4 linked regions of the Cricetulus griseus genome follow. The protein of the gene in region 1 purifies or fractionates together with the protein of each later gene. This does not show direct contact. Links are inferred from orthologs where the notes say so. Each region holds a gene or a part of one and is shown in the gene's direction. Other genes may lie near its edges.

What was found.
Region 2: the proteins of Med24 (region 1) and Cdk19 purify together in Homo sapiens (affinity purification with mass spectrometry; 6 studies listed by BioGRID and IntAct, counting the BioPlex papers as one, with this or other methods). This does not show direct contact. The link is inferred for Cricetulus griseus from reciprocal best matches to the Homo sapiens genes MED24 and CDK19.
Region 3: the proteins of Med24 (region 1) and Med9 purify together in Homo sapiens (affinity purification with mass spectrometry; 5 studies listed by BioGRID and IntAct, with this or other methods). This does not show direct contact. The link is inferred for Cricetulus griseus from reciprocal best matches to the Homo sapiens genes MED24 and MED9.
Region 4: the proteins of Med24 (region 1) and Cdk8 purify together in Homo sapiens (affinity purification with mass spectrometry; 13 studies listed by BioGRID and IntAct, counting the BioPlex papers as one, with this or other methods). This does not show direct contact. The link is inferred for Cricetulus griseus from reciprocal best matches to the Homo sapiens genes MED24 and CDK8.

Annotation. Positions count from the first base shown.
Region 1 is NC_048600.1:111,788,156-111,791,904, reverse strand, and holds the end of Med24 (mediator of RNA polymerase II transcription subunit 24), read left to right. Parts: coding exon 1-245; intron 246-499; coding exon 500-681; intron 682-904; coding exon 905-995; intron 996-1,341; coding exon 1,342-1,441; intron 1,442-2,229; coding exon 2,230-2,310; intron 2,311-2,613; coding exon 2,614-2,879; 3' UTR 2,880-3,227; downstream 3,228-3,749. UniProt on the Homo sapiens protein: Component of the Mediator complex, a coactivator involved in the regulated transcription of nearly all RNA polymerase II-dependent genes.
Region 2 is NC_048595.1:262,901,104-262,905,175, forward strand, and holds the start of Cdk19 (cyclin-dependent kinase 19), read left to right. Parts: upstream 1-1,243; 5' UTR 1,244-1,496; coding exon 1,497-1,624; intron 1,625-4,072.
Region 3 is NC_048600.1:74,064,818-74,068,915, forward strand, and holds the start of Med9 (mediator of RNA polymerase II transcription subunit 9), read left to right. Parts: upstream 1-1,278; 5' UTR 1,279-1,314; coding exon 1,315-1,526; intron 1,527-4,098.
Region 4 is NC_048597.1:82,215,044-82,218,185, forward strand, and holds part of Cdk8 (cyclin-dependent kinase 8), read left to right. Parts: intron 1-1,673; coding exon 1,674-1,771; intron 1,772-2,440; coding exon 2,441-2,519; intron 2,520-2,662; coding exon 2,663-2,821; intron 2,822-3,142.

The DNA of each region.
Region 1 (3,749 bases):
TCTTGGAACACATGTGTGCGGACGTGCTTCAGCAGACAGCAACACAGATCAAGTTTCCATCCACGGGCGTGGACACAATGCCCTACTGGAACCTGCTTCCTCCCAAGCGCCCCATCAAGGAGGTACTGACAGACATCTTTGCCAAGGTGCTGGAGAGGGGCTGGGTGGACAGCCGCTCCATCCATATCCTAGACACCCTGCTGCGCATGGGCGGCGTCTACTGGTTCTGCAACAACCTGATTAAGGTACTGGGGCCAGGGTGGATGTGGACAGCTATGTAGATTGGGGCCATGGGTGTCCTCAGTTGGGGTAGGCCAGGCTTCTTTGGGAGGTTGCTGGAAGCTGGGTGGTCTCCGGGGGAGACAGAGGTAGGGACCTCACCTCAGAGAAGCACCTTCGGTTGGAGTTGGATAGCACCTTTGACTGTAGAGTGGCTGGAGCATGAGAGCCCTAGGGCCCAGGTGTGCAGTGCCTTAGCCGCTGCTTGCCCACTGCCCAGGAGCTGCTGAAGGAGACTCGCAAGGAACACACACTGAGGGCAGTACAGCTACTCTACTCCATCTTCTGCCTGGACTTGCCGCAGGTGACCCTGGTCTTGCTGGGCCACATCCTGCCCGGTCTGCTTACTGACTCCTCCAAGTGGCACAGCCTCATGGACCCTCCTGGCACTGCACTAGCCAAGTAGGATTCTCTCCAGAGCCTTCCTGGTGTCTGCTCCCCTTGAGTCCCAAGAATCTACCACCCAGATTCAGGCACCCCAGCCCTGGTGCCAGCTCAGGAAGCCAGGCTGTGGTTGGGGGGCCCGCTGAGTGGTGGTGGGTGGGAGGGGCTTGTTCAGCATGAGCACACATAGCCTCTTTTGGGACTCTCTTAACTATTCTTTTTTCTTGGAACCCTTCACCAGACTAGCTGTGTGGTGCGCCCTGAGTTCTTATTCCTCTCAAAAGGGACAGGCAGCTTCCCGCCACAAGAAGAGACACAGGGAAGACATTGAGGTAGGTCTGCCACCGCCTTGGTTGTGTGTTTATTCATGAGATGCTTCCTGATCACTTAGAGCAGAGAGCTGCCTTCCCAGGGTGGGGGTGGGGTTGAGGTCCCCTGTGTGTGGGCCTTTTTGATTGGTCAGGGTCTGGGGGAGTGGCTTGAGTGGCCCCTGAGTATCCTTGATGAGGGTCCTTTCTGCCCACTAGGGCAGAGATTGGAGTGTGGGAAGGGCCACCACTGGGGATGCTGGCCAGGGACTAGGAAACTCACTCCTCTCCACTCAGATCTCACCTCCAGCCCTCTCCAGTCCTTGGAGACTTGGGAGGTTGGGTGTGTGACAGTGACTCCTGCCCCCAGGACTATATCAGCCTCTTCCCCGTGGAAGACATGCAGCCTTCGAAGCTGATGCGACTCCTGAGCACCAATGAGGATGATGCCAACATTCTGTCGAGTCCCAGTGAGCACTTGGGAGGTCACGGGCTTGCTAGGACCATTTGTCCCTAAGGACCTGCCTTGGCTCCCAGCTGATGGCTGTCAGCCAGTGTGGTGTGGCAGCAGCTTCCACGTCTGTCCCTAGTGGATGCTCTGCTGCCTGCTGGTGGGGACCTGAAGTTCTCCTCCAGGGGCCCTCCCAGTCCCACAGTTATCCCTCTCTTGTCACCAGTTGAAAGATGACAAGACACCCAGTGAGTTCACTACCTTGGTACAGCTTGTACCATTCACTCACTCACTCTGCCATCCTTCTAACCCAGAGACATGCCCTGTGGCTGAGAACAGGCCCTGTCAGGTTGCGACCTGGGGCTGCACTCCTGCCTTCCTATCCAGAGGGCAGCCCATGTCATCCTTTCCTTCTGCCAAAAGTTTTTTTGTGTGGCATCCAAGTTTCCTGTTTCCAGAGATCTCTTCTGAGCCTAGAAGTTTTCTCTGTAGCCTTATAAGGGACCAGGCCACAGCCACAGCCTTGTGTGAAAGAAAGCTGCTGGCAGACCACCTCTGACCTTAGCCAGGCTCTAAGCAAACAGATTGTACGTCTGTAAAATGGGCTTTGAGTGGGACAGGTGGCTTCAGCCACACAGAGTGCCAGGGTTAGCCTCGGTTGGTGCGCAGAGGCTTGTTCCCACTCATCTACTCTCCAGATTCAGGCTCTTCTGTGCCCCGTACGTGCCAGACTCCCCTGATGGCAGGGGACAGGTAAGGCTCCCCTAGAGTCAGAGCTTACGCAGCACCCTCTCTGCCACTCCACAGCTGACCGTTCCATGAACAGCTCCCTCTCGGCTTCCCAACTCCACACAGTCAACATGAGGGACCCTCTGAACAGAGTCCTGGGTGAGTCCTCCCAGCCGTGCCTACCTGCAGACTGAGCTACACGGGCCCCTCCTCGTCAGAGGCAGGGCCACGCCTGCCAGAGGGATCCTCTGGGCCCTGACATCCTGTTCCGCTTCCATGTGCTGTCCTGTTCCCTTACCACCGCTAACAGCCTCCCTTTACTCCATCCCCCATCCCCCGCCCCACCTTCCCTCCCTGGCCTTCCTATGTGAGCTCTCACTGCCTCTTCCTTTCCCTCCTCGGTCCCCTTCTTTCTCGTCTGACTTGTTCTAGAGCTCTGCTGTCTTGTTCCCTTCTGCACAGCCAACCTGTTCCTGCTCATTTCCTCCATCCTGGGCTCCCGCACCGCCGGCCCCCACACCCAGTTTGTGCAGTGGTTCATGGAGGAGTGTGTCGACTGCCTGGAGCAGGACAGCAGGGGCAGCATTCTGCAGTTCATGCCCTTTGCCACTGTGTCGGAACTAGTAAAGGTGTCTGCCATGTCCAGCCCCAAGGTAGTGCTGGCCATCACAGACCTCACCCTGCCCCTCGGTCGGCAAGTGGCTGCCAAAGCCATCGCTGCACTCTGAGGAGCTTGGAGTAGCCTGGACGGGGTCCCAGCCCCAGCATCCCAGCAGGGGGAGTGAGGATGAGCCCAGGCTGCCCCATCCAGTGGTGCAAGGATGCTTCTCCAGTCTGAGGCCCTCACCCACTCCTGCCCTCTACTTACTATGCCTGTTCCTTCTGTGGTTTTCTGTCCTTTCCACCAGTACCCAAAGACTGCGAGTGGTCCCGATGGTTGCCCCAATTCTTGCAGTAGCTGAACTCCAAGGAGGGACTTTATAGGGCCACAGTGTATATATAAGTTTATTTTTATAACTCAGGAGGGGGAGTCCCTCTTGCTTTGTTTGTAAATAAAGATCCTTGTAGCTATTGAATGCTGTTGGTAGCTTTGCTGGATGACTGGGGACAGTATCTTTTCCCTGCAAGTCTCTTGTGCTGTGGCCAGGGAAGGGCACAGTCCTGTGGTGGGGGAGGAGGTGTGGAAGGCCAGGCTCGTTTTTCACAGGCCCCCACTGAAAGTGGAAAGGTCTGTGAAAGCCCTGTACTGTGCTGTGCAGGGCAGGATGGCTTGCTCTTTAGTCACACTCCACCCTCTGGCCCAGAGTTCACTGTGTGTTCCAGAAGATTGTTGGAGGGATGAGGATGAGGACTCTGTTCTCCACACTCTACAGGTCCAGGGACATGGATCTGTGAGGCTGTGGGAAGGGAAATTGTCAAGGGGGCTTTGAGAAGCCAGTGGTATGGAGGGCTGTGGAGGACGGTGCCTAGGTTGGCCTGGTTGGGCAGCTCTGACCCACAGGGAGCCTGCAGCTGACTTTCAACTGCAAGTGCTCTTCATGGCCACATCCCACCCTTGCAGACATCTTCAGCTCAGGAGCGGAGCCAAGCAGGGAAGT
Region 2 (4,072 bases), on another chromosome or scaffold:
ATAGCCTCCCCAACAATAATGTTGTCTACGAATAGCTAAGCTGCCTTACTGATAAAGATACCCTATAAAATTTCTCTTACAAATTTAACATTCTCTTTACAAAAAATGTTCCCTTATATTTTATTTTGGGTAGTGGAAGGGAGCTGAAACTCGTGTGTTGGATGGATCTCCATTTCTTTTAGTTTAAAAATAATCAACACGCAGAGGGACACATTTTTAGCGTGGCACTTTCTAGGCTCTTACATATTTTGAGCCGACGTGTCCTGAGCCCCAGACATCAAAACGAATCAAAGTCATGATTAAGATAAATTTCTTAAAACCCCTAGGTGAGTCTCACTATTATGCATATACTGTAAAAACGCTTTACAACCCAGCAAAAATGATTGTTTTTAAAACGCTGCATTTTCCAATCTTCCAGGCACTTTAATTGTTCTCAGACAGATGGTTAAAGCTCGGCTACCGCACCCCGCATATGCTAGGATAAAACCCGACTGGAGCGCCAAGAAAAAGATAATTGGCTGTGGGCCCGAGAAGTTACACGGTTCCCCTAGCAAGAGCTGGGAAACCGCTGAATGTTCAGGTTTTGAAATACGGTTTTTGCATCGTAAAGAAAAAAGACTAACCTATCAGGAAGAACCGAGCACATCCAATTACCAATCAAGAGCGGGAAAGAAGCCAAAGCCGGAGATACCCATGCACCCACGAGGACGTCATTCTTCAGCCTCTGCCAATAAGCCGCGGCCAGGGGCGGGGCAACGGGAGGATCAATTGCCCAAGAAAACAAACAATGTGTAGTACAACTGTCGAAACCCCGGTCCTCGGCTCCGGATGCCCCGGAATGAGCTCCGGCACTAGGCGCTCGTGAGGTGCTTCCAGCTCCCTTCGCCCAGGGACAGCCAGAGCCGGTTATCTCCTTTCCAGCAGAGCAAAGGCTTCCCTCCCACAAGCTCCCACGGGCTTGCAGAAAGCTCGCTGCAACTTCGCGCTATAGTTTACGGGAACAGCGAGTCGCGGGCTACCTGAGGGGGTGGGGCGGAGACTGTGCGCAGGCGTTTTTGCCTTGTGGAGGCGTGGCCGAAATGGCCCAAGGAACCCTGGGAACTGTATTCCTTACCTCCGAGGAACTAGCACGGTTCCCGAGGCCTGTTAAACCACATTTCCCAGGATCCCCCGCCACCTCGGGGCGGGCCGCTTGGCTTGTTAATGAGTTCGAGAAAGCCGCGGCGCGGCCCACCAGGTTCCAAAACAAGGAAATGAAGGGGGGAGGCGGGACTGTGGGTGCCTGCGGGAGCCTCCGCCGCCGCCGCGGAGGAGGAGGAGGCGGAGGAGGTGGCTGCCTCGGCCGCCGAGGAGTCCCTTGCTGAAGGCGGACTGCGGAGCGGCGGGCGGCGCGCGCGCGCCCGAGCGGCGGCTGTTGGAGAAGTGGAGCGGCGGCGGCGGAGGGACTGAGTGGCGGCGGCCCCCGCGTCCCGGTTTCTCTATGGGGGAAGCAGACAATGGATTATGATTTCAAGGCGAAGCTGGCGGCGGAGCGGGAGCGGGTGGAGGATCTGTTTGAGTACGAAGGGTGCAAAGTGGGACGCGGCACCTATGGGCACGTCTACAAGGCGAGGCGGAAAGATGGGTAAGAGCGCGGGCGGGGGAGTGGGCTCGTCCGGTCCCCGCCGCTGGGAGACCCGCAGGGCTGGGTGGGTCGGAGCCCACGGGGCGAGGTGGCGTGGGTCGCGGAGCGGCGTCCCGGGGGCGAGCCGGAGGCACTCGTGCTGCCGCCCCCCGCTGGCCGGTCGCGCCCCTCCAAGTCGCTCGGCGCAGCCCCGTCGGGGGGCGTCGGTCCCGCCGCGAGTCGCCGCTGCGTGCTTACAGCGGGCGACGACCTGGTGGAGACCGCGCCTGGAGGTGGAGTTTGGAGGTCTGGTCCCCGGGGACTCGGAGAGGTCTGGGAGGGCTTGGCTGAAGAGTTACCGCTATGGCCCTGTGCTGGTGACGGTCGTGGAAGAACTTCCCAATCGGCGCAGCGCCTTCCCGGGGCGGCGGTTTGAAAGCTCGCGGGGGCGCCGCCCGTGTGGCGGCAGCGCGCTGAGGGTCCTGGCGGGCCCCTGGGGTCTGACTCTGGATGCTGCCAACCCAGTCTGCATCCCTGATTGCTCACCTGCTCCCGATTCCACATGCTAACATTCTGAGTTTAGCACTCTGAAGGTGGACCCTGGAGAGATTAAATGTTAGTGTTCTTTGGTGCCTACCTTTTCTTCCTCTTGGCTATCTTGGGTACCGCCTACCCCCCCCCCCTTTTTTTTTTTTAAGACAGGGTCTCTGCTCTCCTGGCTGGCCTGGAACTCAGAGATCCGCCTGCCTCTGCCTCTCAGGTACTGTGATTAAGGACATGTGCTACCCCCCTTTTTTTTCTTCAGGAAGAAATATTGAGTATTATATCCTCCATTTCCCATCCTCTTGTCAAATGGCTGCGTGCTTTGGTTGTGTTTATCGAAAACCTAGACCATCAAGAACAGAAAACGGAGTGACAGACCCAGGCCTGAACCACCGGTTCTTAGGAGTTGAGGGAATTTATAGGAATCTCTTGGGGAGCATTATTTGATTGTTATATTAATAATAATGCATCGAGAATGTCTTCTTTGGGCCAGAGCAGGACGGATGGAACCCGCTTCTGGCCTAGGAATGGTGGGTTTTAAAGCCGGTTGTTTCCTTGGTCCCATCCTGGAAGGAATTCCTTTTTGCTAGGTTCTGGAACTTGGAAAGAAAGTCTCCAACCGACCCTAAGGAGTGTCAGACTATACAAAAGAGAGTTTTTAGGATCGTGTTGGAGCATTTTTGATAAGCAGATTGTCACCACACTTTAGATTTGAAGTGCTACTTAGGGTTCCTTCTTGCACTGCTGTAATTTGATTGGCTGGGTGACGGAACTCCAGCATCAAAGTAGTATGTGCTGATTTTATTGTAAGAGGAAAAACAAAACACATCGTGTGAAGTGTTTCATATACAGTGCTCTGAAAATTACAAGAACTGTCCAGGTTTCAAGGATGATGATTACTGTTGTAGGTACAACTGTAGAGGTCAAGTTACTCAGTTGAAGGAGTTGTTTCTTTTAATTACCATGTGTCCTTGAGGGCTCTCCTGGGGCTATAGGTGCTGTAATCGAGTTGTGCTTTGTTTTTGGAGTATCCACAGTACTTTTTAAATTGGTATTCCAGTGGGAGTCTTTACAGGGATGATTGGGGAAAGCAAATCCATTGCTACTATTGGACATTGTTGTTATAAAATAACCGAGGTGGATCCCCTCTCTCCCCAAGCTAACTTTGTAGTACACTTCATCTAGAATTTAAAAAAAAAAGTTTTAAATTTGAAATATTTTTATTTTGCCTGGAAACTGAGAGAAGTTAAAAATAATTCTGCTTCTGAATTGAATTGAATGGCTGGGCTTGCAACAAAACATAGTGCCTTGTTCTGTTTGTTTCCCAGTGTGTCTCTCTAATAAAGATCTTGATTCAAATACACTTTTTCCTTGAGTGAAACTGGTAAATTAGAGTAAATAAAATAAAGTCAACTTTTGTATTTTCAAAGTAGATTTTAAAAACAACAGCAACCCCCCCCCCCAAAAAAAAAAACCCCAAAAACCAAAAAAACAAAATCCATTTAGAGCCAGAGGCAGAGGCAGGCTGATCTCTCTGAGTTTGAAGTCAACTGGGTCTACAATTCCAGGACAGCTAGGGCAACACAGAGAAACCTTGTCTTGAGAAACAAAACCAAACAACAAAAACTCAAAACCAAACAGACAACCTCCCCAACCCCAAAACCAAAGAAAACCCCGCTTAGAATATGGGTTGCACGCCACATAAACTGGCCTTGATTTAATCCCAACATTTAGGAAGTGGAGCCAGGCAGACCAGAGGTTCAAGGCCATACTTGGCTATACACAAGTTCCAGCCAGTCTGGGGTATGTGAGGCCCTGTCTCAAAAAAAGTGGAACATAAAAGTTTATAGTGACAAGTCTGAGGCAATATTTTTTCTAGTTAGGAATACTTATAATAAAGGAATATTGTTAAAAATTTCTTTTCAT
Region 3 (4,098 bases), about 38 Mb from region 1:
TCCCCTTTGGGTGACTAGCTCATCATGTTATATTGTGAAGTTGTGTTCCCACCAATGGGATGGAATGCAGTCACCATCTAAGTAAGAGGTAAAGGCAGTGGGCATTTTAATGAGTATTTTTGCTCTCTTGGTTTGGGTTCTGGTACACTCACTTTTCAAAAGGAAATCACTTTGTCAAATTTCACTTTGTCTGTGTTCCTTTATGCAACACTGCAATCATTCTTTTCCCAACACTTTCTCCACTTCTTCTGTTTGGGACACTCTCTGCAGCTCAGAAGAAAACAATCCTGAGACCCATAACTAAAAACCTCAAAACACCTCCAATATTCCATTTCTGAAGATCTGGCTCCAAATGCCCTTCCCAAGGCAGCTGAAGTCAGCAACATCCCTGCTCCACTTGGGATTTGCCACTGTGAACTTCACATTCCTGTTCCTTTTTTCATGACTTATTTTTTACTTTATGTTCACTGGTGTTTGCCTGAATGTATGCCTGAGGGTATCAGAGCCCCTGGAACTGGAGTTACAGACATGTGTGAGCTGCCTTGTGAGTGATGGGAACCAAACCAGAGTCTTCTGGAAGAGCACTGAGCACTCTTAAGCACTGAGACGTCTCTCCAGCCCCTTCCTGTTCCTTTTTGAGCTCTTTGCCTCTCTTTACTGGCATGGGGGTTGAATAAGGACAGATGGCCTCTCCCAGTTGACAGCTTTCCTAATTTCTTGTCTAGAAATTTATAATACAGCTTCCATGTCATATTTTCCTTGGGAAAACATAATATCTATCAGAAGTCCCCCGCTTTTGCTTATACACATAAGTATATGGCACCTGCTAGATGCAGACTAAATGCTTGAAGAACGGTTAATTTTTCCCTCGGCAGCCATGTGGAACCTCGGCAGACAATGTGTTTGTATGGTGTGTTTTGCTGTCGCCAGTCAGGGGCCCTCCTGGAGGCTGGCAAGACACAAAGAAGCGTAGGTCCTTGTCATCAGGATGCTCGCTGCCTCAGAGCCCCATTTTCACACGGCGCTCACCGGCGTCATCCGTTCTTCCTGCCAGTCCCAGGGCGGGGACTGGCGGGGGGGGGGTCCTTGTTGGTGTTTTGACCCTTCTCTGTCATGCGAACTAGAAAAAGATGACTGAAATAGGTCCCCTACTCCTGACTGCTTAATTTAGCCGTCTGGATACCAGTCGCCTAGCAACACTTGCCCGCCTACGCCCAGCGCGCAGGCTCAGACCCTTTCCCCACCCGGCCTCCCGGGCGCACATCTGTGACGTAAGCATCCAGCGACTCTCGGCAGTACCGCACGCCTGGTACCATGGCTTCCTCCGGGGTGACCGGTGGGAGACAGGCCGAAGATACACTGCAGCCACCGCCCGAGCTGCTGCCGGAGTCCAAGCCGCTGCCGCCGCCTCAGCCTCTACCGGTCGCCGCGCTCCCGCCGCCGCCGGCTCCGCGCCCTCAGTCCCCCGCAGGCGGGAAGGAGGAGAATTACTCCTTTTTGCCGTTGGTTCACAATGTCATCAAATGGTAAGGGCCTAGGAGAGGTCAAGACACCAACTTTCCCGGCCTCTGGTGTTGCTGGTTCGGTCCGAGCAGCGGAAGCCAGCGCGCTCTGAGCCACGCCCCATTTTCCCAGAGGAGCCGCACAGTCGCCTTTTGAGTTCAGCCACCTCCCAGGCCTTGAGAGTTACACTGTGCATCCAGGTGAAGCTCACATACTGAGCAAATTCACAGGTTCTACGGTGCACTCCTCTTGTTCGCATCCCAGACCCCTCAGCGTCTTTGGGATGGGTCTCAAGTCCTTACACATATAGTCTGATGGCAACTTTTGTTTTGTTTTGTTTTTCGAGACAAGGTTTCTCTGTAGCTTTGCAGGCTGTCCTGGAACTCACTCAGACCAGGCTGGCCTTGAACTCACAGAGATCCACTTGCCTCTGCCTCCCGAGTGCTGGGATTAAAGGCATGAGCCACCACCACCTGGCTAAAGGCAATTGTTTTATTTTTCTTCCAGACAGTGTTTCTTCCCTGTGTAACAGCCCTAGCTGTCCTGGAACTTGCTTTGTAGAAGCAAGCCTAGAATTCAGAGATCGCCTACTTCTGCCTCCCGAGTGCTGGAATTAAAGGTGTATGCCACCCCTCCCGGCTACCTAAAGGCAATTTTATACAATTGACTGTTCATATGAAGCCTAGTGTGGGATTTTCCATTTGTAGCATTATGTGGTCCCCTTAAGAGTTTTCGAATATTTGTGGATTTTAGATGTGAGATTCTCACCTTGAACACAGTTCCCGTTTCAATACTAGGCAGTATCTTTACTTGTGTGGCACTGTTAAGTACTGTGGATGAACACTGGAAAGGAACCATCAGTTTACCATCACAGTAAGAAGCAGAGCAGAGAAAAACAAACATAATAGTCTATGATTTTTACAACTGGAGAGGGGTGGAGTGATGCTAGAAAACATTTGAAACAAAGACACGGAAGTTGCTCCAAATGATTATGTCCCACCCAGTATTAACTTTCAACAGAATATCCAAGGATGTGGGTGTTACCTTTCTGACCCAGAGTCTCCAGTCTCCAATCTGGCTTACATTTTTTTGTTGTTGTTGTTATTTCCATATACAGTTGTGTCACTTCCAAGAGGTGACTTGTCCTGCAAACATTCTCATCTCAAGTGTGCTTTGATAAACTTAGGTGGTGCAGGACAGTTACTCCATGGGGCCTCTTGGTGCTGTCAGGATTCTTGGTAACAGCAAGAGAGTGTTGGATGGCTTGGTGGGTGAGACTACTTGCTTGCTGTGAAAGCAAGACAATCTGAGCCTGAATCCCCAGCATCCACATAAAAAGCCACTCATGGCTGCTCATACTTGTAGCCCAGCATTTCAGGGTAGAGACAAACAGATCTTGAGAGCTCTGGCCAGCCAGCCTGGCTGAAACCGAACTTCCATTCATCATGTGACCTTGTCTCAAAGCAATAAGGTGAAGAGCAACAGAAAAAGACAACCTACCTTAGCACGACTGCCTGCACACTCAGCAGGCATTCACAGACACAAATAGCAACCCCAACGCACATATAAGGCATACCACACATACATAATAAACAAAAAAGAGTCTTGGCAGCATGGGACGTATGAAAGTTGCTGCTGGTATATTAAGACATTCTGTTAAAAGGGGGGTTTTAATTATATATTTGTTTGTTTGAGAACAGGGTTTTTGCTACAAAGCCCACACTGCCTTTGACCTTTTGATCCTCTTATCGCAGCTTCCTGAGTACTGGGGCTACAGGCGTGTACCATTACACCTAGCAACTGTGAATCTCTTAGTAGGAAGGAGTGTGCTTTAAAATCATAGTAAAAAGTTCATTATAGTAAATGCATAAACTAGTGACATCACTATTTATATCCTTATCAAGCATTAGGCACTACCTGTAATTGTATATGCTATACTTTCATATATCTGGCAAAATTATTGTGGGTTTTTTTTCACAATAGTGTAAGTGATGCATTCTGATGCAGTGTTACCACAGCTACTGTGTCACTAGGCAAAGGAAGGTTTTGGTTACATTATAACCATTAGACTATTACTGTATATATGATCTGGCATTGACCAGGTTATTCAGTGCTGACTGTATAGCTATAGGACAGTAGGTGCAAACCCCTGAACTTGTAACTTCTGCTAAACCATTAAATACTAAAAATAAATTAAGACAAGATTACAATTCCAGTTGGGCGGTGGTGGTGGTGGTTTCGCACACCTTTAATCCCAGCTCTCTGGGAGACAGAGGCAGGCAGATCTCTGTGAGTTCGAGACCAACCTGGTCTACATGAGCTAGTTCCAGGACAGCCTCCAAAGCTACAGAGAAACCCTGTCTCGAACACCCCCCCCCCAAAAAAAGATTACAATTTCAGCCATGTTTATGAACATTGGCATGCCCTTTGATGTTTCACTGATATGGAATTGCCATTTGGCTTAAAAAAAAATCTTAATAGCAGGGGCTGGAGAAGATGGCTCAGAGGTTAATAGCACTGGCTGCTATTCCAGAGGTCCTGAGTTCAATTTCCAGCAACCACATGGTGGCTTACAACCATCTGTAATGAGATCTG
Region 4 (3,142 bases), on another chromosome or scaffold:
ATTGCTGTACTGATTTCCACAGTGGCTGTACAAGTTTGAACTCCACCAGCAGTGGAGGAGTATTCCCCTTTCTCCACATCTTCTCCAGCATAAGCTGTCATTGGTGTTTTTGATCTTAGACATTCTGATCAGTATAAGATGGAGTATCAGAGAGGTTTTGATTTGCATTTCCCTGATGGCTAAGGGATGTTGAGCAGTTCCTTAAGAGTCTTTTCGCCATTTGAGATTGTTTTGTTGAAAATTCTCTGTTTAAATCTGTATCTCCCCCCCCCCCCATTTTGGTTTTTTTGAGACAGCGTTTCCCTGTGGCTTTGGAGGCTGTCCTGGAACTAGCTCTTGTAGACCAGGCTGGTCTTGAACTCACAGAGATCCGCCTGCTGTACCCCATTTTTAAATTGGATTCAGCCCTCTGTCACATGTAGGGTTGGTGAAGATATTTTCCCATTCTGTAGGCTGCCGTTTTGTTTTGTTTACTGTGTCCTTTGCTTTACAGAAGCTTCTCAGTTTCAGGAGATCCCATTTATTAATTGTTGCTCTCAGTGTTTGTGCTGTTTGTGTTATATTTAGGAAGTGGTCTCCTGTGTTAGTGCATTCAAGGCTAGTTCCCATTTTCTCTTCTGTGAGGTTCAGTGTGTATGAATTTATGTTGAGGTCTTTGATCCATGATCCATTTGGACTTGAGTTTTGTGTATGGCGACAATTAGGCTTTAGGAACAGGGCTCAGCTCTCTGTCAGGCTTTGGGAACAGAGCTCAGCTCTCTGTCAGGCTGTGGGAACAGGGCTCAGCTCTCTGTCAGACTCTGGGAACAGGGCTCAGGCTCAGCTCTCAGTTTAAAAAAAAATCCTTGCAACACTTGTGTGGCACACTGAAGTTTGCAGAAGATCGGAACTTGTTATATCACATTAGGAACAAACATTGCCAGAAGGTATTTAACCCAGAAGTGCTGCGTTTCCATACTAGTGTGGTATCTCTGGATGTAGCAAGGATGAGCTCAGTGTACTACATTACTCACACTTACAGTGTGCTCTCTTTATTAAGAACTATCACAAATGCTGAACCATATATTTCTTTAATACTAAAACAAGCTATGATAGTTTGTACTATTTTTATTCTCTATCTAGACAGATATGGTTACAAAGAGGGGAACTGACCTGCCAGGTACTCTCAACCAGTAAATTTTGAGTCAGGGTTTGGACTAAACAGTTGAGTAGGGTAGCCTCTAGCTCCATGCACCTCTTGAGTACTTGATTACCTGGTATAGCTGTGAGAATTATTTTTTTTAATTATAATGCAGTTTTGCTGAATTTGGACACAAATCTAACTGCTGTGGCTTGTGCGTTGTTTATATTACAACACTTTCTCCTGTTAAAAGAAAAGCAACAGGAAATGCAAGTTTGGTCATTCTAAATTGTGTGGATAATGAAGGGACAAAGCACTGGGGAGGAGGGTCAGAAGGTGTTAAGTGTAGTCACCAGGAGATGATTGTGTGTGCTGTTGCATTAATAATTGTATCTTGTTACTGATAATTTGAGAGAATAAAAACCATTCATGTTGTAGTGTTAGCTTTTAGAAGCATGCCACCCCTCATGGGTACTGACATATAAGCTTAGGGATAGTGCACTAATGTTTTTGTGGGAGCATGCACTGATAATTCTGTGACTTGTGATTTCAGCTTCAGAAGTTGCTCACTATGGACCCAATAAAGCGAATTACCTCAGAGCAGGCCATGCAGGACCCCTACTTCCTAGAAGACCCACTTCCCACATCAGAGTAAGTGGTGGATTTGCTGACTTCCTGAATGCTGGCATCTTTAAGTGCTCTTCCTCTTAGTTGGCACACTAAGTTGCCATGCCTCTGAGGGATTGCACTTGGGCTCTGGTGTTCCTAAATAAACTCATGTTCTCTCTCTTTTTTTTTTTTTAAAGATCGATTTATTCATTTATTCATTTATTTATTTAGCATGTGTGCAGAACACTGCAGGTATGTCTGCATGCCAGAAGAGGGCACCAGATCTCACTACAGATGGTTGTGAGCTACCATGTGGTTGCTGGGGATTGAACTCAGGATCTTTGGAAGAGCAGGCAGTGCTCTTAACCACTGAGCCATCTCTCCAGCCCCCTCATGTTCTCTTTACTTTCTTTGTTTTAACTGGAGAAGGGCAGACAAACACTGAGCAGTGGTAAATACTTTGTACCAATGAGAGCTGTCCTGTTTGGTGATTATTGATTATGATTACACAGTGAAGAACCTTCCAACCACCTGCTGCAGTATCATTGGTTAAAGGATTTTTTGTATCAGATTTGCATGAAAGATGCTTTTATCTCTAGCTATGGAGACCAAGTCCTGTCTTCTTAAAACGTGACAGTGAGTCACCTAAGTGAAACCTGGGAAATAACAGGCATCATGTGATAGAGCTCTTTTCTTTCCTCTTGTGAATAGTGTTTTTGCCGGTTGTCAGATCCCTTACCCCAAACGAGAATTTTTAACAGAAGAAGAACCTGATGACAAAGGAGACAAAGTAAGTATTAAATTACAGTCGGCAGTGCCTTCCTTGTGGCCACCTCTGTGACCTTTGGGATGTGGCCACTTCTGTGACCTTTGGGATGTGGCTACCTTTGGTTCTCCTTCTGAGTTGAACTATTTTCTGTTTAACCAATTGAGAAGAACCAGCAGCAGCAGCAGGGCAATAACCACACTAACGGAACTGGCCATCCGGGGAACCAGGACAGCGGCCACGCACAGGGGCCCCCCTTGAAAAAAGTGAGAGTTGTCCCTCCTACCACTACCTCAGGTGGACTCATCATGACCTCCGACTATCAGGTATTACAAGTGTCTCGTACTGACCTGCTGTTCTGGGGCTTCTAAAGGATCTGTTGCAAAGTGTGGTCTATAGTAGATTGGTCTACCTGTCAAAATATATCAGCATAGAATATTACAGGTATGGAAGACTACAGAGATGGAGAGTAGAAAGGGATCCAACTTCTGAACAGACTTGGAATAGAAAGTCCAAGGTCAGCAATCCAGTAACTTGAGACCTCTGTGGTATATCACAAAGTATCTACTGCAGCTGGGAGGCAGTGCAGCAAGCAAAGCACTCCCACATGAGCATTCAGACTCCAGCATCCACGTAAGTGCTGTGTG